5 linked regions of the Kluyveromyces lactis genome follow. The main gene of each other region encodes a partner of the protein of the gene in region 5 in a complex. Links are inferred from orthologs where the notes say so. Each region holds a gene or a part of one and is shown on either strand. Other genes may lie near its edges.

What was found. Proteins that work in one complex are often made in the same cells at the same time.
Region 1: RSM25 (region 5) and MRPS8 share a complex: the UniProt entries of both Saccharomyces cerevisiae proteins name them as parts of the mitochondrial small ribosomal subunit. The link is inferred for Kluyveromyces lactis from reciprocal best matches to the Saccharomyces cerevisiae genes RSM25 and MRPS8.
Region 2: RSM25 (region 5) and NAM9 share a complex: the UniProt entries of both Saccharomyces cerevisiae proteins name them as parts of the mitochondrial small ribosomal subunit. The link is inferred for Kluyveromyces lactis from reciprocal best matches to the Saccharomyces cerevisiae genes RSM25 and NAM9.
Region 3: RSM25 (region 5) and MRPS12 share a complex: the UniProt entries of both Saccharomyces cerevisiae proteins name them as parts of the mitochondrial small ribosomal subunit. The link is inferred for Kluyveromyces lactis from reciprocal best matches to the Saccharomyces cerevisiae genes RSM25 and MRPS12.
Region 4: RSM25 (region 5) and RSM27 share a complex: the UniProt entries of both Saccharomyces cerevisiae proteins name them as parts of the mitochondrial small ribosomal subunit. The link is inferred for Kluyveromyces lactis from reciprocal best matches to the Saccharomyces cerevisiae genes RSM25 and RSM27.

Annotation. Positions count from the first base shown.
Region 1 is NC_006041.1:140,353-144,451, reverse strand, and holds MRPS8 (mitochondrial 37S ribosomal protein uS8m), read right to left. Parts: upstream 1,996-4,099; coding exon 1,528-1,995; downstream 1-1,527. Other genes in the region: BUG1 (Bug1p), read left to right, coding at 239-1,195; AIM36 (Aim36p), read left to right, coding at 2,543-3,196; U4/U6-U5 snRNP complex subunit SNU23, read right to left, coding at 3,387-3,947. UniProt on the Saccharomyces cerevisiae protein: Component of the mitochondrial ribosome (mitoribosome), a dedicated translation machinery responsible for the synthesis of mitochondrial genome-encoded proteins, including at least some of the essential transmembrane subunits of the mitochondrial respiratory chain.
Region 2 is NC_006037.1:1,005,593-1,010,951, reverse strand, and holds NAM9 (mitochondrial 37S ribosomal protein uS4m), read left to right. Parts: upstream 1-2,383; coding exon 2,384-3,832; downstream 3,833-5,359. Other genes in the region: peptidylprolyl isomerase FPR1, read left to right, coding at 141-485; EAF7 (Eaf7p), read right to left, coding at 784-1,992; SRV2 (adenylate cyclase-binding protein), read right to left, coding at 4,039-5,359. UniProt on the Saccharomyces cerevisiae protein: Component of the mitochondrial ribosome (mitoribosome), a dedicated translation machinery responsible for the synthesis of mitochondrial genome-encoded proteins, including at least some of the essential transmembrane subunits of the mitochondrial respiratory chain.
Region 3 is NC_006042.1:669,131-673,240, forward strand, and holds MRPS12 (mitochondrial 37S ribosomal protein uS12m), read left to right. Parts: upstream 1-2,079; coding exon 2,080-2,583; downstream 2,584-4,110. Other genes in the region: type 2C protein phosphatase PTC6, read right to left, coding at 1-1,028; ARC35 (Arc35p), read left to right, coding at 2,984-3,964. UniProt on the Saccharomyces cerevisiae protein: Component of the mitochondrial ribosome (mitoribosome), a dedicated translation machinery responsible for the synthesis of mitochondrial genome-encoded proteins, including at least some of the essential transmembrane subunits of the mitochondrial respiratory chain.
Region 4 is NC_006041.1:1,439,370-1,443,619, reverse strand, and holds RSM27 (mitochondrial 37S ribosomal protein mS33), read left to right. Parts: upstream 1-2,396; coding exon 2,397-2,723; downstream 2,724-4,250. Other genes in the region: RPS0A (40S ribosomal protein uS2), read left to right, coding at 376-465, 1,162-1,836; KLLA0_E16149g (uncharacterized protein), read right to left, coding at 2,070-2,234; GPI1 (phosphatidylinositol N-acetylglucosaminyltransferase), read right to left, coding at 2,938-4,250. UniProt on the Saccharomyces cerevisiae protein: Component of the mitochondrial ribosome (mitoribosome), a dedicated translation machinery responsible for the synthesis of mitochondrial genome-encoded proteins, including at least some of the essential transmembrane subunits of the mitochondrial respiratory chain.
Region 5 is NC_006041.1:743,387-747,748, forward strand, and holds RSM25 (mitochondrial 37S ribosomal protein mS23), read left to right. Parts: upstream 1-1,758; coding exon 1,759-2,544; downstream 2,545-4,362. Other genes in the region: rRNA-binding ribosome biosynthesis protein UTP25, read left to right, coding at 1-794; KSH1 (Ksh1p), read right to left, coding at 1,137-1,355; EFM6 (putative protein-lysine N-methyltransferase), read right to left, coding at 2,780-3,580; FAP1 (Fap1p), read right to left, coding at 3,886-4,362. UniProt on the Saccharomyces cerevisiae protein: Component of the mitochondrial ribosome (mitoribosome), a dedicated translation machinery responsible for the synthesis of mitochondrial genome-encoded proteins, including at least some of the essential transmembrane subunits of the mitochondrial respiratory chain.

The DNA of each region.
Region 1 (4,099 bases), about 600 kb from region 5:
TTGAAACATTGTGAAATTAAACGATATTATTTGATCGATGTTTGCCTCAATGATGGTGATTCCTTTCTTATTAAATATGTGTGAACCATAACGACACGTTTAGATCAAAAAAAAAAGTTGCCCCATATGAAATAAGAATTTACATGGTGAATGCCAAATCTGAAACAATTGCGAGCTAAATATTAAAACCAATTGGCGTCTTCAATGCAAGTGAGTACACACATTCGAACAGTTGATTATGTCTGAACTATCCCCCGAGGAAGAAAGAGCCAGAAAGCTCGAAGAAGCCAAGATAAGGGTTGAAGAGTTAAAGAAGAAGAATAAAAACAAGAAGAATAAGAAGAAGAAGGACAAGGAAGATCTTGAAGCAGCTGAAGTCAAAACTGAAACTGAAACTGAATTGGAACCGACTGATACTAATGTATCAGAGAGTCCGGTTCATTCAGATGAACAACCAATCGTGGAAGAGACAAAAGCTGAAGAAAAGGCTGAGATAAATGCTGATGCAAAGGGCAATGACAACAACGAAGAGAAGTTTGAAAAGGAGTCTGTGGAGAAGTCTGAAAAAGAGTCTGCGGAGAACAAGAAAGACTCCGAGGAGGAAGTCCTCGAGAAGGAAGCAACTGATATACCCAACCCAACCGAGGAAGTGTCTAAAGAAGCTTTTGCAGTTCAACAAAAAGAGGAAGAACCAATAGAGGCAAAAAGTACAGATGAAGTTGAAGAATTGTTTGGCGGGAATGATGATAAAGAGAAAGATTTCCTTTCGACGATACAAGAACAGAAAAGCCAAGATGAAGTAATAAACCTCAAGGAAGAAGTTTCAAAGCTAAAAGATCAAGTAAAGCAATTGAAGTTTGTCAACATAGATCAAGAAAGCTCCATAGAAGAGCTTGAAGAACAGATAAACATCATGAAATCTCAACTCAATGATAAAACTGTACAATTGCTGTCCGCTCAGCAGGAGCTATCTACGTCTAGACAAGAAGTAGAGCAGCTTAGAGCAACACAATCACCACAACTAACCCCTGTGGAATTCTCTTCCTTTGATAGACATTCTCCATCCAAATTCGAGCCATCGAGACAGATTCAGCATCCAACGACAGACCCTGTTATGTTAGCTAAGTGGAAGAACTGGAATGTCGATATGACAAATTGGAGATCAGTTGGTGTTGGCCCAGTTGTGGAATTTTAAGTAAGTTTCAGCCTTGTTACTATTACCACAGAGCTATGATTTTTTTATGATTTGTCTCATTTGTCTCGTTTAGGCAAATATAATGCTATAATGTACAAGTATACAATTATATTAGTGTATGTATAAAACTGATATTTGACACGATTGATGATTGTCGCTAAAAGGAAAATCGCACTGATTGAATGTTACTATATACATGGAATATGAGGTGGATTTCCTTTTGATGATATTGGAAGTTTCGATGGTCCATCACACATGTTGATGAAATATTCTGCACTTTGTTTTTGATTATATGACTAATGGTCTTTATTGCTGGGAATTTTACTGATGATTCACCTAATTCTGCATAGCACTTCACCACCGACTTTCTTGGCGATAGCATCATCGATATCCATAATTTCATTCCCAGATTTCACTAAAATTAATTCACCAGGAGCCAAAGGTTTGATCAATCTGACGGAGGTACCTGAACATAGTTTCTTCAAATCATGTGCATCTAGACTGATTCTCAAGTTTGGTTTTGATATCAATCTACAACTAGAAATAACTGGCTTGTTTTCCCTGTATTTTAAACCCAACCACAGTTTTCTAGTAGCGATATTATCTGGCGTTACGTCTACCGGTGTGACATCTGGGCCCTTAGTAGATCCTCGTTGTAAACTGGATAAGAAGCCATGCTTGTATAAGTTATAAGCGAAGTTCAAGTGTAACTTTGTATATGGGATTGAAGTCAAACCAATTCTTGCGCGGGAACAGTTTTGCAAGTGCGCGCAAACATTACCCAAATTCACTAATGACATTCTTGACAAAGTGTATCACAATTGTTATGGAAGCTTAATGAGGATCGTTTTTCCTTGATTGGAGAGGCCAACCCGGTAACAGTTTATCATTGAAGAGTTGTCCTTCATCTCATGTGTATAGCCCAAATTTTGGTGAACAGAAAATTTTTAGAATATCTACATATCCCACCCGTACATCACACCGTCAGTGTTTGGAAAGAAATAGCCAACGGTGTCTTTATCAGCCTAGAATGAAGCGAAAGCAGTGTTGGAAGTAAGCTGCTAGATGCAGTTTCATATAATCTTCTAACTGTACGCCTTCTCAAGCCAGGGTCCTATAATGGCAATCTCCTTACCTCTTCTCTTTTGTTTTGTACCTTATCACTTTTCTATCAAACCTGTGGAAATATTTCGTCAATGACATTTTAAGATCTTTCAATATAGCTTGCTGGAGAAGATCCGGAATGTTATGACATTTTAATTAGGATTGCTTCTTTGTTTCACTACGAGGCCTATAGCCAATCTCATCAGTAGCTATCTGCTGCACTATACAAAGATCAAGGCCGATATGTTCGTACGCGCTGCACCAAGATTATTGAAGTCTCCGGTCATGCGCCGGATGCTGTCTGGAAAAATGGATAAAGCTGAAGAACCACCAAGTTTTAAAACCATTTTACTTGTTGGTTTAGTTGGGACTGCTATTTTTGTTAAGGCAGTCGACTCTTTGGAACAGAACAAGCCTAAAAACACGTACACATTCTCTGAATTTGACACTGTGATGAGTGGTCTAAGAAGAAGAGTTTCGATCTTTGAGCAAGATGATTTAAATTTAAGATGTGTGCAAACCGGAGTTGCAACCAAGAAACTGAAATTCCCCGAAGATGCGAAGGTTATCAAACCTTCAGAAGCTATTGAATTCTTCAGAAATAAGTCTGACGATAAATATTATGTGCTTTTAAATGATTTATATGAAAAGGAGGGGAAATCGTACATGGAAAAACTACCAACAGGTCTCTCTGTCGTCTTGATAGGTAAATATATGAAGGAGAAATGTCAAAAGGGTGACACTGTTTATCTACTTGACTTCCCAGACAATATAAAAGATGCGATCAAGTTCGAAAATGAGGTTTCCGTTATCGACAAAGTTATTGTACCAAATTCAGAAGGAGACGGCCAGGTTTCCAAATACTTTAAAACCGTGGATAAAGTTGAGACCATCTAAAATGACCCCTCATGCCATTTTCCCCATCGGCACCCTTTTGCATATATCTGGGGACTTCCTATAACAATCCATCCAACTTTATCTCGATTAAACTTTGTAAATATCATCAGTATCTAATTGCCATTCAGCAGAAGTACGTTGTGAATAGTGGGATGTAGATATGCTTCGAATAAAAACGTCAATATTTATGTTATTTCTTGGAACTTCCGAATTCTGTGAAACCCATTAACCTGCCGATTTCAGACTGTGGTTGATATTTGATTTCTGCATCAGATTTCTCACATTTGACTCTCTTTGCCGCTTTGCGTTTATTGGATCTCAATTCAGTGTCCCCGATAAATGCTGATACAGATTTATGAAACTGGGATCGTACCTCATTAAGTGGTACTAGATCATTATCCCTCGTATCTTTTATCAATGGCTCGTTGAATATGTTCTCAAACCGTACAACATGTGATTTGTGATTCAAATGGTTAATGAATTGTAGTGTGTCTTTGAAGGTTAAGTCACATATGTCACAGTAAAACCCGAACTGTTTACCTTTTTTCTGCTGACTTAGATTGGCTGATAACGTCTTTTTATTGATGTCGCGTAGATTATACTCGAGTAAAGCATTGTAGTCTGTGTATCTATCTTTTAAAGCTTTCAGTTGTTCCTGGTCTAATGATGAAAGATGAGATTGCCCTCCTGGAGAAGTTGCTGCCTTGGCAGCATACTCTTCTCTATTCCATGTTCTTCGTCCAAATGACATATTGATTTATAGTGAATAGTACTCCTTCTCAGAACTCAGTACCTGATCTCTTCCTAGGTCATGGAACTTATTATGCATGTCAACATTAAATTAGTTGATGTTTTCCATATTGGATCTTTTAAGTCATTTCATCTCAAAAGAAGGCATAAATG
Region 2 (5,359 bases), on a different chromosome or scaffold from region 5:
TCTATAATAAGGATTCCTACATTCTACACGAAACTGTTGCAATTACGAGGCCAATTGAGTGCTATTTTGTGTCAGTTTAATCCGTTATTGTATTGCAGTTTTAAAATAACTCAGCTATCACACATCAAACAGCAGAAACAATGTCCGAAACAATTGAAGGTAACGTTCAAATTCTAAGATTATCACCAGGTGACAGTACCAACTTCCCAAAACCAGGCGATTTGGTAACAATCCATTACACTGGTACTTTGGAAAACGGTCAAAAGTTTGATTCTTCCGTTGATAGAGGTTCTCCATTCCAATGTAACATTGGTGTAGGTCAAGTTATCAAGGGTTGGGATGCTGCTATTCCAAAGTTGTCCGTTGGTGAAAAGGCAAGACTAACTATCCCAGGCCCATACGCTTATGGTCCACGTGGTTTCCCAGGTTTGATCCCACCAAATGCTACTTTAGTCTTTGATGTTGAATTGTTGAAGATTAACTAGATGTATAATGTCATTCTTCTGAATAAAACACATACTATTAATTTCCTTCACATTTTTTCTTTGGTTTCTCCCTTGATTCCTTCCAATTGGTCCCATCCATTATTATTATTATAGCTTTACATCTTTCCGTACCTTCTCATCAACCTTTCAACATGGGAATTGCTATCAAATTGTAGCCGTAGTGTTTGTATGCTTCCATTTTAACATTCAATTTTTGTACATCAACGAAATGCCTATAATATAAACCATTAGCTATATTATGTTGTTATTGCATTATTGAAAAAACAATCAAGAACAACTACTTCCTGCTTCTAAGCCTGCTCGAGAGCCTTGTAGTTGGTTTTGTTATGGATTTTCTTCTTGTTCTCCTAGCTGGAGAATCCACGTCGGCAAGATCTTCAGGAACTTCCTCCGCAGCGGCAACTTTTTGTTTCTTAGGGCGCGGCTGTTGAGATGATTCCGTTTCGTTCTCTTCTGCTTTCCCTGTCGGCGAATTAGCTGATTCCTTGGCAGCACCTTCAGATTCATCAGCAAATGTGACTTGTTTTGTAGCTGTAGTATCTGCGGCATCAGCAGTCGATTCTTTTTCGCTACCAGATCTCCCTTCTGTATCGTGTTCGACATCTTCCTTTTCATCGGTGTTTCCGCCATGGGGTTGGTCTTCTTTGTTTTCACTTTCGTCATCAATGCCTCGCTTTTGTGAACGTGTCAACCTTGTAGAGCGTCTTGTCCTTGGTTTCTTATGAGCATCGACAGGTTCATCGACAGGTTCATTCGCCAGTTCGCTCACAGATTCTCCAACACTGACTGGCGGAGTGGTCGCCATTTCTTGTTTCGCCTGTACATTATTTTGCTCAGTATCCTTTTCATCGATATCCTTTTCTCGTTCCCGTGGCTCTTCTGACTCTTGTTCTACTTGCGTATCCTGTGATTCCGCACCCTTCAGTTTTGCCTTGTCATCCGCAGAAGCGGTCTCCTCTTGCTTAATATCTTCCACCTCATGATCCCTAGCATGTTCTAACATAAGTTCTCCATAATCTTCCCACGATAGTTCAAATTCCGTCTCTTGCTGGAGTCTATTTTGTAATGGTATTATATTTCTCTTAAGCTCGTCACAATTGTCAACATCATTGTCACTGTCATCATCATTATCTAGTTGAGCGTCCCCTTCTGTCTTTTTGTTTGTAGTTTCGGTTGGTCCGTCATCATTATAAAATTCAGGGTATGGCTGGTTCTCTACTTCATCTGCCTTCTCTAAATTATAGTACCGACTCAATTGTTCCCAAACGTCCTCCCCAGAAAACACTTTATCTGAGCTGCCTTTATCGCTTTGCAAAAGTTTGATTGGATACTGATCTGGCTTGTTCAATCGCTCAAGCAAACACACCATATGGAAGTGTTTATGTATTCCTGCAGGTTTGAACAGCATCATCCATTTAAACAGCCTTATTTCCTCCACTTTACTCCATGTTTGCCCTCTAGGTGATTCTATCTTTACAGCGGACATCGCAGTGAACCGTATCGTATTACTTTTATCTGAAGTATCACAACCTTATACACCAAAAGAACGTTCTTGCAATTGATATAATAAAGTTCCTATCAAGATCGCTGATAAAGCAGATCGTATGAGGCTTGATACCATCTTCGCCAGTCCATCTCAATATGGTTCTATGGTGTTTCTCATCTTTCTAAACTATGAATGCTAATATTTGATATCATATGTCACGAAATTCCTCTAAAAATTTTTCAATATCGGAAAGCTTCAAGCATTAGATAGCGTTTGATTGAAAAATATTATGCAGGTAGTTCGGATATGCAATGTATTTCCATTTCGAAGAGTCCGTAAGCAGTCAATTCTGGTTAGTTTTGTCAATACATTGTGAAGAAAAAGACCAGCAATGCCTAGGAAAGCTGTACTTCTGAACTCTTTGTCCAGAGGGAAGGTTCGTACCTCTTTTAACAAGTACAATTTGTTCAACTTGTATAAGAAATCTCAGGTCAGTTTTAGATCGAAAACACTATACCAACAGAAATGGACTTCTAAACAGGAAACTCGTGCCTACCATGGCGAACATTTAACAGAGAGTAGGTGGCAGTCTGTTTTCGAGCCTCAGCTAAACTCTGTGGCTCAATTAGATGCTTCTCTAAGGGGTGGTGATATCGAACCGACGCCCATTCTATTACAAACATACGCTGTACTAGAGAAAAGGCTAGACTTTGCTTTGTTTAGAGCTATGTTTGCCTCGTCAGTGAGACAAGCTCGTCAGTTTATTTTACATGGCAACGTCCATGTGAATGGTGTAAAGATTACTTCTCCGGGATATGCCTTGAAAGCTGGTGATGTTTTCAACGTCAGACCCGAAAAAGTGCTACAAGCTCTTGGTGCCAAGAAACCTAGCTTGAAGGAAGCTTTGAAAGTGGATAATACCCAAATTTTCCTATGGAACAAATATATTCTAGAGGCTAGAAAGAATCCTAGAAAGTTCTGGGATGAAAAGATCGAAAAACTAAGAACTATGGATAGTAACGATCCAAAGAAACAGGAATTTTTATCCTTCCTCGAAAACTACAACAAAACCATGCACATTCAAATGAGGAAAGAATTAGACCAAACCAGTAACGAGTATTTGTTAGCTAAGATCTTTTCTACCGTTAACCGCGTTAACGATGTAGAAAAATTGGCAGTAAAAGATTTCTTGGGCGAATTTTACAATAACGAAAATTTGGCAGCTAAAGGATTCGAAATTTATAGAGAAGTCAAGTCTGCCAAGGCTGTGGAAACGATAGCAGGGAAGCCTTTGGCTGAAATTCCTAATGAACAAGGTGAATTGCTAAAGGTGGCTACAGGAATAACTAAACCTGTTGATAACACAAACGATGCCTTAAAGAAAAAATTCAGAGCCATCAATCATACTATAGTTGATTTGAGACATTTCTATGAAACCGTGGTCAGAGAACATTATAATGACAAGATGGCATCCGTTGATTCTGTTGATATTCCATACGATGCTAAGTGGGCTGAAAAGTTACCATTGCATCAAAAGATCAATGTTCCTGAACTATTGGAAAACGAACCAGCTGCTCAAAAAGCTATCAATTTACCATGGCAAAAGGGTGTGTTTGGTCGTAACGATCCATCTAAACCATATTTCACTCCGTGGAAACCAAGACCCTTCTTAGCACCATTCGCCATTCTACCACACCATTTGGAAATATCATTCAAGACATGTCATGCGGTCTACTTAAGAGACCCTGTTGCACGTCCAGGTCAATCTGAAGTTATTACTCCATTCGGCTTACCTGTACATGAACGTTCATACATGTACTATGTGAGAAGGGGTAAATAAGTTGACGAAAACAAATACACACGAAAGAATGGATACACTGTGACTATGACAATTTAAAAAGAATGGTGTATCTTGGAAACCTTGTACATATTATTATCATTATTTTATCGTATCATATTATATTAATTATATATATATATTTATATGTTCTAATGAGTAAAGAATAAACTAACACCCAGTAACGAGAAGATATACTATTCAGATATTCAACCAGCATGTTCGTAAATCTTGGTTTGTAGTTTACCTTCGACGAAAGTGTGTATCATCTGTTCTGGAAGTGGAACTTCAACGAAGTCACCATCGGGACCAGTTGGAGTGTTGATGTTAATACCAGTGCTAGAAGAGGTGAAAATTTGAGCCTGTAAAGAGTTTTTACTCAAATAAATGGAGCCGCTATCAGACGCGTCGATGGTGATTTGTGGCAGGGTGTTTTCCACTTGAATACCAAATCTCAAACATTTAATAATATCCACACCACTGATGGAAGAATCTAGCACTAAACTGCATTTTTCTGTTTCATTGACAGTAACTGCGTTGACCTTACCTTTGATTTGTACCAATGTGTTGACACATTTACCGATGAAAACAGATTCGTCAATTTTAGTTTCGATCACTAACGGTTCGGCTTCATCTTCATAATTTTCAATAAACCATTTATTACCGATCAATTCCTTTCTTGGAGGCTTCTTAGTCTTCAGAGTAGATGGTTTCTTTGGTTTAGGTGGAGGAACAGCTTTGTCAGAAACCTTCCCTGAGGCACGAAGTTCTGGGTTCTTATGTGTTTGCTGAGACTTTTCTACTTTCTTTAAGGATTTAGTGATGTTTTCACCTTGGTTTAACTCAGCAAACACAGCACCGATTCCACCAGATTCTTGTTCTTTTGATTGTTCATTGACTTCGAATACGGAAGCCGGAGGAGGTGGAGGTGGAGGTGGAGGAGCTCCGGCGCCTGAACTATGCGGCTCACTGGAAGTAGCACCAGAAGAAGAAGCTCCGGATCCCTCGTTGGAAACTCTTTCGTATACGGTTTCGAAATCCTCACCAGTAGTGTCGTTCCAAGTCACACCTGTGGTATGGTATTCCTTAACGTACAGCTTCAAGCTATCGAAAACGGACAAAAATTGTTGGACCCATTCAACGGATTTAGGATCAGTGCTTCTGAATTCTTTCAAGATTCTATTTGTCCAAAACTGGGCAGCGTCCTTGAAATCAGTGATAGTAGACACAGGTGTAGATCCAGCAATCCATGAGAACAGTGGTGATCCCTCAGAGATAGCATTCAAATGAGCGAAATACTTACTGTTACGGTTCTCCTCTTTCAACTCACCAATAGAGAAGATGTTCTCGTTAATTGGGGTCAAACCTTTCACGAATGCAGATGACGAAAAGTCTGGCTTCTTTGATTGTACTGCTGCCTTTAAAAACACCAACTGAGCTTTGAAAGCGTTGGCTAAAAACACCACAGCTTTTTCAACAGTAGGATCAATTTCAGCGGATAATTTAACCAAAGGATCAACGTTCTGTTCA
Region 3 (4,110 bases), on a different chromosome or scaffold from region 5:
GTATTTGCAAAATTGTTCAAAAATCTAGTATCACCGAAGGAGTCAGTTTGGAATTGACCTCCAAGTCTTCTGGACTCTCTACTTGATGAAGGATGATGAACTTTAGCCAAAGAATGAGCAATACCATTCTTGTCACAAAGTATAATTTTAGTGTCACCGATTTGAGTTACAGCCAGTTTTAGTAAGCCCTGTGGTGCAATGAAAAATGATTCATCGTAACATTCTTCTTCATTATAAGAGGTTAAAAAAAGGCTTGAAGCAGTCGAGCCACCAGTGAATATTTTCATTGCTTCTTCTGGTTCTAAATCCGAAGAAAATCCACATATTTCATTTAAGTCATAATTGAGGTAGGATATGTACAAACGTAAACGTTCGTATTCACTCAACAAGCTTGTCTTGTCAATAATGTTTCCCCATTTGTCAAAGATCATTCTTGCCCCATTTTTTGGCGCTACACCGTCCGTGAGTAGGACTTGCTCCACTTTAGTGTTACATTTTTTGATATACCTCTCATAGTACTCCTTTCTACCTTTGTATATCCTCGACCAGTACTTCCCCCCCACTAAGTCCTGATATTTTTTTAATACAGCGTCAAACTCTTGTCTGATGGGGACCATAGCTGTTATATGATCGTGCAAACCTGAAGCCAGCATCTTAGAGACACGATCTCCTCCATGACCGTCAAATATAGAAATATTCAAAACGTTTCTCTGGGGAGGTAATTCTTTCCAAAGTTTCATCTTAGTAGCGATCGATTTTTTTGAGTTTAACAACGAGCTTTCGGCTATAGTTGTTGGCAACTTCAGAATATTCATAGAATAAGAATCCTCGTTGTATAGTCTATTAATCCTTGAAGTCGCATGCCCGATGAAACCAGGATATTTGTTCAAATGAACCCTTAACATATGAGGTTTTGTTTCTTTCGAAGCAGCATGGCTTGCCGCTGTAGTTTGTAGAGTCGATCTGCCAGCTGTCTTTTGTAGAAGATCAGCTGGCCTTAGGTGAATGAATGACTGGGTTTTACCCATCTCGGGTTGGCTATAATCACAATCGTGTTCAACTTAACACAAATGGTAACACAAGAATTAGCCTCACAATATCTTATAACCGAATACCCCAGACATATAAGAAAGGTTCAAGAATGCCAATTGAAAACACTTCTCTCGTGTGTGGCGGATGCATCAACGAGCCAAAAAAAAGAGCCAAACCCTTGTATATTCACTAGACTTTATTATAACTAGATTTATTTTCCTTTAAAGTGTACCTACTGTTTTTTTTTTTTTTTTTTTTTTTTTTTTTTTCTATACATTCCGCAATAGTGCTTCAACACTACCCTCTTCATATAGGAAACCGTCAAAATCTCACTAGTGTTTCATTACCACATGCTAGCGTGATATGGAGGTGTATATAAGCCATTGCTATCGTTAACTACCGTATATGGGGCTATCTTGACGCATTTTGCCAAATAGTGACGGAACGGCTGTTACTCGGCAGCAGACACCAGGAGAGAAAACTATCTGATCTTATGCACGTGATACAAAAACTAAAAAAATAGACAGTCGCTTTAACACCAGCCTACCTAATTACTCGAGCCCGGAAGTCAAACTACCCCGCAATATTCTATCACGCATAATTCAAGTAGTTGGTTCAAACACCCTATTTACCTGCACCCACCTTACAGCTTGATCGTCCATAATCCAGTATAGTTGTTTGATATTTCAAAATAGGAAATACAACAACTACCTCAGTAAGGACTTTTCTCGTAATTCGGAACCCGCATAGTGCAGCTGGTGTTCCCAACGAAATGAACAAAATCTTTTAGGTTAAAAGATCTCTCAAACCATGCACATTTTCTGAACAATTTCCCGGACATCAGCAACAACACATATTCGATCACATGACTTCCGAATATTTTCAACTATGATTTTTCATCATCAGAAACTGACAAAAAATTATGAAGCAAATGTTGAATTGAAAGAGTTATATCAATCGGTCAGTGAATAAATGTTGGCGTAAGTTCAACTCTGAGTTTGACTTACGTGCACTGGATCTTAAGAAACAATCCTGTCAAAGATACCAATGTTCAAACAGGTTTTCGGATTGAGCAGTAGTCTGACTAGACTATCGTTGCGTAATGTTCGTTCAAGCATAGCATTTGCACCACCACTGCAACAACGTTCTTTCTCATATACTTCACCAATACAAGCCACGTTGAACCAAATAAAGAGAGGGGTCAAGCCTCCTGGCCGTAAGAAGATCACTGAATCCCCAGATTTGGAGGTATGCCCGATTCGTAAAGGAGTTGTGCTAAGAGTGATGGTATTGAAGCCAAAGAAACCTAATTCTGCTCAGAGAAAAGCTTGTAGAGTGAGATTAACCAATGGTAACATTGTTTCTGCATATATCCCAGGCGAAGGCCATAACGCACAAGAGCACAGTATTGTATATGTTCGTGGAGGCCGTTGCCAAGATTTACCTGGTGTGAAATATCATGTTGTCCGTGGTGCCGGTGATTTGGCCGGTGTTGTCAACAGAATCAGCTCCAGATCGAAGTACGGTGTGAAGAAACCAACAAAGGAGTAAGATACCAACAGTATTATATTCTGAATTATCAACATAAAATATATACTTATGTTTATAAACTAGACCTTCATGTAAATATGCGAATAATCTATCTACTGGTTGCTCAATCTTTATGGCCACGTGACCGAAATTTTGTTCGGATGGTTTTTCCATCATAGAAAAGTGCTGAAAATTTAGTTAACAACGATTTCAACGAAAAGGTGCCCCTATTGGAACAAACAGAAAGAAAGATTCATCATCTGCAAGGAATTGGGAAATTTCGAAGAGACTAAACCTGCTCAGTGTTGAGGAAACTTACAAGTTGATATTGTTCCAAGTCAATTGAAGAAAAGCTCATAGACTTGTTCGAAAAAAAAGCCTGGGTGAACACTTGTGAGCCTTCTAATATCAATACATAATAATGTTACACCTTAAACCATACAACCTATTGGTCCAAAAGACATTAACAGAAGCTTTGGAAGCTTACAACAATGGGTCTCCTTTAACTTTGGACAGAATCATCTCCGACTTTGATTATACAACGTTACACATCACCAACGATGGCACTGATAAGTCGAACCTATTAGTTTCCATCAGAACCAAGGCTACGCAATCTTGTAATGAGAGTGGGAACGATTTACAAGGGTTCTTGCAGGCAAAATTCGATGAAGTACCAGGTTTGGCTCTATCATCTGCTAAAAAGGAGGCCGGTTACGATTTTACCATTACTGTTGATCTATCTCAAATCACTGCGCAATCTATTGTGCAAGCATCTTTGTTTAAGATCCTTGTAATGTCATATCCATTCTATTTAGCGTTTGGCCAGAGTAATGCTCTTTCTCAATTGAATGAAATAGACCAAGTGGAAAAATCAAAGGAGGCCAGGGCTATGGTTATCAAATACAGAGATGATGAAAACATATACATCAAGCCGTCCTTTGATCGTATCACTGTTATATTCGAAACTATATTCCAAGATGAAACTGACAAAGTTTTCGGTAAAGTTTTCCTACAAGAATTCGTAGACGCAAGAAAGAGAAATAGATCCATCCAATCTGCGCCTCAAGTGCTATTCTCCCATGAACCACCTTTGGAAATTCAAGAAGTAGCCCAACAACACGCTCACGTTGCAGGTGCTAAGAAGTCTACCAGGAGATTCATCACATTTGTATTGTTCCCACGTCACTACTCCTCCGATGAACTAATGTTCACATCTGTGTCACAGCTTGCCCTATTCAGGAACTATTTCCATTACCATATCAAGTGTGCTAAGGCATACATGCATTCAAGAATGAGATATCGTGTTGATACATTCATCAAGGTCTTGAATAGAGCAAAGCTAGACGAAGAAACTGAATCCGATTCACGTAGAACAATCACCGGTAGAAAAATGGTCTACTAAGTAGAAATTGGTTTCAATAATGTGTTTAAAGTATAAAATAGAATGCTGCCGATGTAGCGATTTATATCACGTGACAAGTAGATGATCCTATTCAGATTTTTTTCCCTCCGTAATGCCATGCAATTGCTGGGCAATAAACGCTCGAG
Region 4 (4,250 bases), about 700 kb from region 5:
TCCACATTAGGAAATAGCACGTGGTATAAAATCGATGTCTTTTCCCTTTCACGAGCCAGATTTTTTAAACGAGATGGATGCTAACGGAGATTGGCTGGACGGACGCACAGCAAGGGCGGAGTCCGCGCAGGAGCTAGGCTTAGTCGAGTGTTTTCCTAGGCAGGGATGGGGCAGGTTCAGTCCTTTCTAACTCGAACCGCTCCTCTGAAATTTCACTTGCTTGATGCATTGGAAGATCGGAACATTGGACAATATCTCACTTTAATATTTCATGCATCATTATATACTTGTTCATCTCATCAACAATAATACGTTAGATAGGACAGGTTACGATTCACAATTGATAGCTCCAAGAGAACAAGAATATATCAAACAATGTCTTTGCCATCTACCTTCGACTTGACCTCAGAAGACGCCCAATTGTTGTTGGCTGCCAGAGTCCACTTGGGTGCTAAGAACGTCCAAGTATGTTGAGAAATTTACGAAATATGGATACGAACTTCGGTTTGGATAATACGTATTCGATAAGAGGAGTGGTGTTTGTTCAATACCAGAAATGCATCAATTAGAAAGAACTGTTACAAAAAAGAGAATATTGTATCACAGCAAGATTAGCTGTCATGATACTTCTGTACTTATGCTTGTACCTTGTTTTTGCTCGTGTTTTAAATCAATAACATTGGTTAGGCCTCTCCGCAGGTTAATCATGGATGTTGAATATTTGGCACGGTGCTACTAACTAAATGAGTGCTGATGTCAAGGATAATGGCTTCACTCACAAGAAAGAATATGCAAATATTTATATTTGTTGCTCTTTACCTAACAGCATAGAGGATATACGTACGTTAAACATTCTATTTCCCCTCGTTATTTCAATTCTGATTCCCTTCGAACAAGGATATCAGACTGAAGTACGAGAGGATATGGTTTTAACTGAATCTGTTAAAAGAACAACAATTGAAATGGCCTGCCATTTCTAGGGAACTAAAATAATAATAAAAAAGTACACGAACATCTCCTCTATCATATGGTAATATCTGCACTTCGAAAAGTGTATCCTGTCGCATGTTGCGGTTGGGAAAAAGCTCTCTCTTTACTAACAATATATTTTTAACTTTTGCGAACGAAACGTTTGCATGGTTATTTTTTAATTATTAACAGGTTCACCAAGAACCATACGTCTACAAGGCTAGACCAGATGGTGTCAACGTTATCAACGTTGGTAAGACCTGGGAAAAGATTGTTTTGGCTGCCAGAATCATTGCTGCCATTCCAAACCCAGAAGATGTTGTTGCTATCTCTTCCAGAACTTATGGTCAAAGAGCTGTCTTGAAGTACGCTGCTCACACCGGTGCTACTCCAATTGCTGGTAGATTTACCCCAGGTTCTTTCACTAACTACATCACCAGATCTTTCAAGGAACCAAGATTGGTTATCGTTACTGACCCAAGATCCGATGCTCAAGCTATCAAGGAATCTTCTTACGTTAACATCCCAGTCATCGCTTTGACCGATTTGGACTCCCCATCCGAATACGTTGATGTTGCTATCCCATGTAACAACAGAGGTAAGCACTCCATCGGTTTGATCTGGTACTTGTTGGCTAGAGAAGTCCTAAGATTGAGAGGTGCTCTACCAGACAGAACTCAACCATGGGCTATCATGCCAGATTTGTACTTCTACAGAAACCCAGAAGAAATCGAACAACAAACTGCTGAAGAAGAAGCTGTTGCTTCCGGTGAACAAACTGAAGAAGCCGTTGACGCTACTGAAGAACAAACCGAAGCTGCTGAATGGGCTGAAGAAGGTCAAGCTCAAGAAGAAGAATGGAACTAAACTTCAAGAATTCTTTAACTGAATTCCTGGAAGTTATTCCACCTTTTTTTTTGTTTAATTCATCATTCTATAATATAGATTCAATGCTTAGCATACTATCATTGTTATTATTATAGCTTCATGCAACAACTCTCAACCATCCGCTCATATTTTTAACTATTTTTACTAGTTTTTAAAACTCCACATCGTGTATAATTTTAATATCATTATTGATCCAGGCTAGTACCCGATAATTATACAAAGAATTGAATATTATTTAATTGATTGAACGTGCCAACTGAATATTTCCCCTTCAATGGTGCTTCAGTACCCAGTATGGCAATGTGACCCTTCTCGCATCTCTCATCGCTCTTATCCTCATCATGGTGATAATTTCCTGATAATGAAAATTTGAACATTGGAACATTCGAAAAAAAACTGAGCTTGCATAAAATAGAAACCTGCTGCAGAAGTAGTAAGTGAAAGTACCAATAAATAGGTCTTAGGTGTGCTTTAACTCTCAGCGAACTAGTTTGCGGGTTGTTCCATCAGTTATCACTCATATTTTCATATTTTGAGAAATGTCTGTACCCAAATCTAGGCTACTGAAGCTTGCTGAGATATCAGCCAAAGTTTTTGATCAAAATTTCAATCCAACAAATGCCAGAACTGGGTCTAAGATCCTAGCACAGAGGCTTAAAGGACCTGCTATTGCGAATTATTATGGTAACCCAGATTTTATCAGATTCAAGCAATTGAAGAAACTATATCCAGGCATGAACTTCGTTGATGAAGAAGAACAATATAGATTGACTATGCTTGAACTAAGAAAGCGTAGAGGTAAGGGTGCTCCAACTAAGAAGAGAGAGGCCTCTGGTGACGGTAAAAAGACCAAGAAGAGAAAGTGATCAAAATGAGCCCAGCCTATCCTTTTATCCCACTTAAAGGGACTTGCAATTAACATTTCCATCATATAAAAATACCTTGTATATAAATTATATCAGTCAGTTCAAATAGACCCAAGAATTTAACGAATTTCAACTATGTTTTTATTAAATACGAATATTCAAGTAAGATTCAAACTATGCAATCTGTGCCATTAATTGTGGTTGTGAGAGGGGTTTATATCGTATCTTGTTCCATTACCATCTTTAACTTTTTCCATAGTAAATCGATATCAATTGGATGTCTCGGTAGATTATGGTACAAAACACGATAGAGTTCATCTCTTCGTACATTAAGAACTGATCCCTGACTCACCATCTTCAAAGTCTCAACCGAGAACATCTGTCTTTGAATGGATTTCATGACGTTTGTGAATGGTTCAAAGGTCATGAAAAAGCTGATTGGATTATTCGATATTAATAAGTGATCATCATATACTTTGAACTTGATACCACCAGGTAACCTTTTAGCATCTTTTATCCGTAAAAGCAATGCAAATAAAGGGAAATGGTTGATAAGGGCCAAACTTAGTTCAAGCAACACTTTCACTGTAAGGTCAACAAATCTGAACACTGTGTATACCAAATAGAATGAAAATAACGTTGGCAACAAGAAGATTAACACCGTGAATATTAAAGTTCCCATCAATAGCTGATCTAATTCGAAGTACATATCATCAACTCTTCTACGTAACACATTTTGCTTCTTCCCATAAAACAGGTAGAATAAACTCTTCAACACATAGATATGAACATGATAAAGTTTGACACTAATCATGTAAAATAATGAGATATGCAGCGTCATGATCCACAGGAAGTCAACAGCCAGGGCCAAAGTGAAAGTGAACCCTATGACAGCACTGATATGAGACATTACTGTTATTCCCTGTCGTATAGTTTCTGGTTCAATGCACGAGCGAATCCATCCGGTATAAGTGAATTCGATGATTAACAAAAAAAGAGAGCTTAAAAACCTGGAAAGCTCATCATTAAGTTTGATACCCAGTGGGTTTTGTTCTAAAATCAACGTCACCTGCATGGGAAGCTCATAAAGTAAATACTTTAAAGTTGTACTGATATTTTGGGCCAATGTAATACGGTTTTCATATAACACAGTTCCTAGTGTGGCACCAAACGAAACATCGTTTATGATGAGCCAAAGAGTATTGTAAAGTCGAATATAATCAGGATAGGTTTCGCAGGGAAGTGCTTTCGGTAGCACAAGGTGGCTTTTACGACGTTTAGTGAAACCCGAACTCTTATCATTTTCATCTATGCTACCATTTTCATCTGTTCGAAGGTCTAGATCAGTCAATTTGACATTTTTATTAATCCTTAGATATTGTACTGGAATATAACAAAGTTGCTGGCATCTAAGGTCAATCTGCTGAGCAGTTGCGAATAACTTTACCAATGGCAATACCCTCCAATTTAAAACATACGACACAAATCCTGCAACAATTCTTATCAAGGCGGCACCATAAAAAGCTA
Region 5 (4,362 bases):
AGCATATCAATAAAATTCCGGAACAGCAACGGGAAGCAGATTTCAGTCGAATCAGAATGTGGTATATTAACGAACAGGCAAAATTCTTCCGCCAAACAATAGTCTTCACTAAATACATATCACCGTTTGCCAACTCAATCTTGAATGGGAAGTGTCGTAATCTTGCTGGAAGATGGAAAAATCATAGGAAGATAAAACCTGAACAATCAAGCATTGGTCAATTAGGACTAAAGGTTAGACAAATATTCCAAAGATTTGATTTAGCAGGAGGGACAGCTCTAGATGAACCTGATTACAGGTTTAAATTTTTTACGAGTGTCATCGTTCCGTCTATTGTGAAATCTACTGGGTACGAGGATGGTATATTATTATACATTCCTGATTATACCGATTTCATCCGTGTTAGAAACTATTTGAAAGAAAAAACTACAATCATATTCGGAGAAATCAACGAGTACTCTAACCAGAAACAATTGACATCCAATAGAGCAAGATTCCAACACGGAAAGGTGAAGGTCTTGTTATACACAGAAAGATTGCACCACTTTAGAAGGTACGAAATAAAAAACGTCAAGAGTGTAATTTTCTACAAGCCTCCGGGAAATCCTGAATTCTATTCTGAAGTTGTTCGCAATATTGGTAAGAACGTATTTTTAGGCAACTGTGATATCAACATTTCAACTGTCAGATGCATATATAGTAAGATGGACGGTCTTTCTCTAGAGAGAGTCGTAGGATCTAAACGCGCGGCAGTATTGGCTCATGGCCAAAACGAAGTGTACGAGTTTAAATAGAGTGGATCAAATATGCCATAAATAATTAGTAAACCGAAAACTTACGCAATCGTTCTCCTTTACTAATAGCTTAGAGTATTAAAATATGTTGCACTTTTCAACTTCTTTGTTTGTTGTAGAATTTTGAAACTCAAAGTCAGATTCAAAGAGTACATATTAATTCTTAATTATTTGATGCAAAGAGACAAGCCCGCAAACGAATCCAATAGCCGCCCGATAATAGATTAAACTAATTTTATACTTAAAATATAATTCTATAGACCTCAGAGCCGGTCAAACTTGCTAATGAGAGCTTTCACCTATAGCAATTGTGACTTATCTTTATCTTTTCCCTTGGGTTTATCAACTGTTGAATTGCGAAACTGCCATGGCAATGCAAGCTAAAGACACATAAGGACTAGCTCTTTCCCCAATTCTCGCAAACTTCCAAAATACTCCTAGTATACCGCTGTCCTTATAACGATCAAGGAGCGATGGTCTTTGTGCATGAATATATGTGCACGAACATATGAACAATAGTATAACTTGTAACAATGATTTAAAATTGAATAGGGCAGACATGTTTTTCAGAAAAGCTAGTGACCGTGAATATTCTGCCGAAGAAAATATCTACTCTGAACCTTTCAAAACAGGAACGAGATGAAACCTAAGGTTCATCAGTTATCATTCCACTGTATTGAAAAGAATAAAGGAACTTACGCTCCCCATACACTTAGCTCTTCGATCTTTAATTTTGGTGAAAAATGTTTACTCTTCACGTGATCTAAAAATTGAATGCTTCTACTTAGAAAAATTTGAAAAATCTGATCGACGATCCAAAATGAAATTATAGTGAAAAGTTGAAAAGTTCACAAATATGCTGTATGAACAGCTCCAGGACAACAAGTATTGGATCGATTGCTTGAACCTGCGAGTTTACTGAGATAGTATAGAGTAAACGGGCCATATAAACGTCAGATATAAAATGAAGGTTCAGCAAGAAGCCGTTAATGTACTAGAACGTACATCCGCCTATTTGAAGTCTGGTATTTTGAAGAAGACTCCAGCTTGGTACAATGTTATAGCGAAGGTACCACCAACAAAGAAGTTTGCTAGAACCCCACAACTGACACATCCTATGAACGGTAAATCTAGAACTGCACTACCTGATTACAGCAATTGGAAGGCCAATTCTTCAGGATTATACAAAACTAGACCAAATTCTTTGGAAAAGAAAGATGGTGCATCGAAGCTATATCAGTCCCCAAAATTAGTATATATCGAGGATAAATTGAGAAAATTGTTCTTCCAGCAACATCCATGGGAACTTTCAAGACCTAAGATTCTTGTTGAGAATACCCTAGAGACTCAAGAATATGACTGGTCTCATATCCAACAACTAGGCAAGCCATTGGATGGCGAATCAGTTGTACAAAGGACGCTTTTCCTATTAAAATCAGGAGAGAAAAAAGAACTCATTGATGCATATGATCAAGCTAGATTCGAGTTCTACCGTCTAAGAATACAACAAGAAATTCAAGATCAAGTTGCTCAAGAAGAAGCCGAAATGTTCGGTTCAGTCTTCCATACCACTTCAATAGAATACGGAATTGCTAAGGAACAAAAGGTCATTGACACATGGAAGAGAAAGGCCTTACAGCAAGCTGAGTTGATGGCTGCCAGAGCAAGTAGTCCTTCTGCTTCCTGGACAAACGAGACCGAAGAAGAACAAAAACCTATTGATCAAGATGTTGAGGAAATTCAACTATGATCTTCCACAATTAAACACAACCAATGAACACTATTCCCGTCAGAACTCTGAGTTTTACTGTCATTATTGTATAAAAATTTCATGTATATATAAGTCACTATAACTATAAAGTTACTCATAGTTAATTCACGAATTGAAAGTACTTTCATGAGCATCACAAAAAGCATAAAAGATCAAACTAAATGGGGTGTCTTTGCATTTGACAAACGTCAGTTGTCACCCTACTACTATTTTTTTATTTCTCCCTCATAAGCTGAAACAAATGAGTTCTCTGTTTCAAATATTTATCGAAGTTAATAAAATCTCGTATCTCTACAATTTTAAAGTTCTTCTTGATCTTTTGGAAGAAATGTTTGTCCGCTTTACGCCTTTTCTTGTATGCCATTAGAATAATTGGCACATTCTCCCCATCAGTTAATTCTAACAGTGTTTTTTCCAATAATGGGAAAGCAGCTTCTAAGTACACACAGTCCGCAGCTAGCACTAAATCAACCGGTTTCTTGACAAATACATCCGGCAAGGGATTCCCCCACCATAACACCTCGGCGTGAACCTTATCATCCAATCCGTTGACTTGAATATTAGATTCCATGAGACCAAGCAGCTGATCAATGTCAGAAATATAAACTTCACGATCTGAATATTCATTCGCTTGATCCATTAGACCAACACAAAGCCCAACTAGACCTGTACCACTACCCAGTTCCAAAACGCTATTGCAATTCCCATCTGGAAACAAATGACTTAGCAAATGTTCCTTGTCGGATTTTTCAAGGATATATTCGCATAGCAGTTCACCTGCTATCCACACTTTACCTCCGCATCCGGATTCACCACCATCTTCATTGATTATAAGAGGACTCGGCAGTTTTCCATTGAAAGACATATCAATTTTGCCCAGATGCTCAATTGGCCTAGCTGGCACTAGTTCCTCAAAACAACTTGAAAACGGCACATCCCCCATAATGAATGCCTTACAGGTCTCCAACACTGTTCGCTCTTTTCGATCTCTCGTCAGCACTTCTAAAAGTGACATCGACTGTTACATAATATGGAATTTGTCTACAGGTTTTCTCGGAATAGTCGTATTTTTCACTCTTTTTTTAGAGTTTACAGACTAAACTTCTTCATGATGTGAAAAAAAAGGACATCCAACGACAATATATTCCATTTACAATACGATGTACATTGTACTGAATCTGCAATTGAATATGTTCTCTCTATAGTGTATAAATAAATGAAGGCTATGAAACTTCTGCTGAGGTGTTATGCATGAAAAGTCTGTAGACTATAGGTGCGTCAGTTTTTTTATATATGTACTTTTTTGGCCGGCTTTTTCTCTTATGCTTGAGACACTAGGGACAAATTCTCATCAACTTGACACATTTCCACACCTGTAGCCAACATTTGATCTTGTAGTGCTGTCTTTATAAACGGAATGACTTTTTCCATATCACTTGCAGTGTTTTTTGTTATACCCGAATAATTCTCTGGGAAAATCAAAACTGAGTTTAAGTCTTTCAAGAAGCGATATTGAGGTGTTTTCACTAAAGTATACTTCAAGAAATCATGCACCAGAGGTTCGATATTATCTATTTGGCTTGAATCGAACACTCCGGAAATGACTATTGCATTAGGGCCCTCGTATGGGGCCGGTAAAGGTGTCTCGGATGCGGGGATATTAATTAAGGTTTTCGTGACTTTTGTTGAGTAATGTTCTTGCATTCTTTCCTTTTCTAATGTTTTAAATAGTTGATAGAGTTCTGATGCGTCCTTGAGTGTTAACTCCGGCTTCTTAGATTGTGATTGGATCTTTTT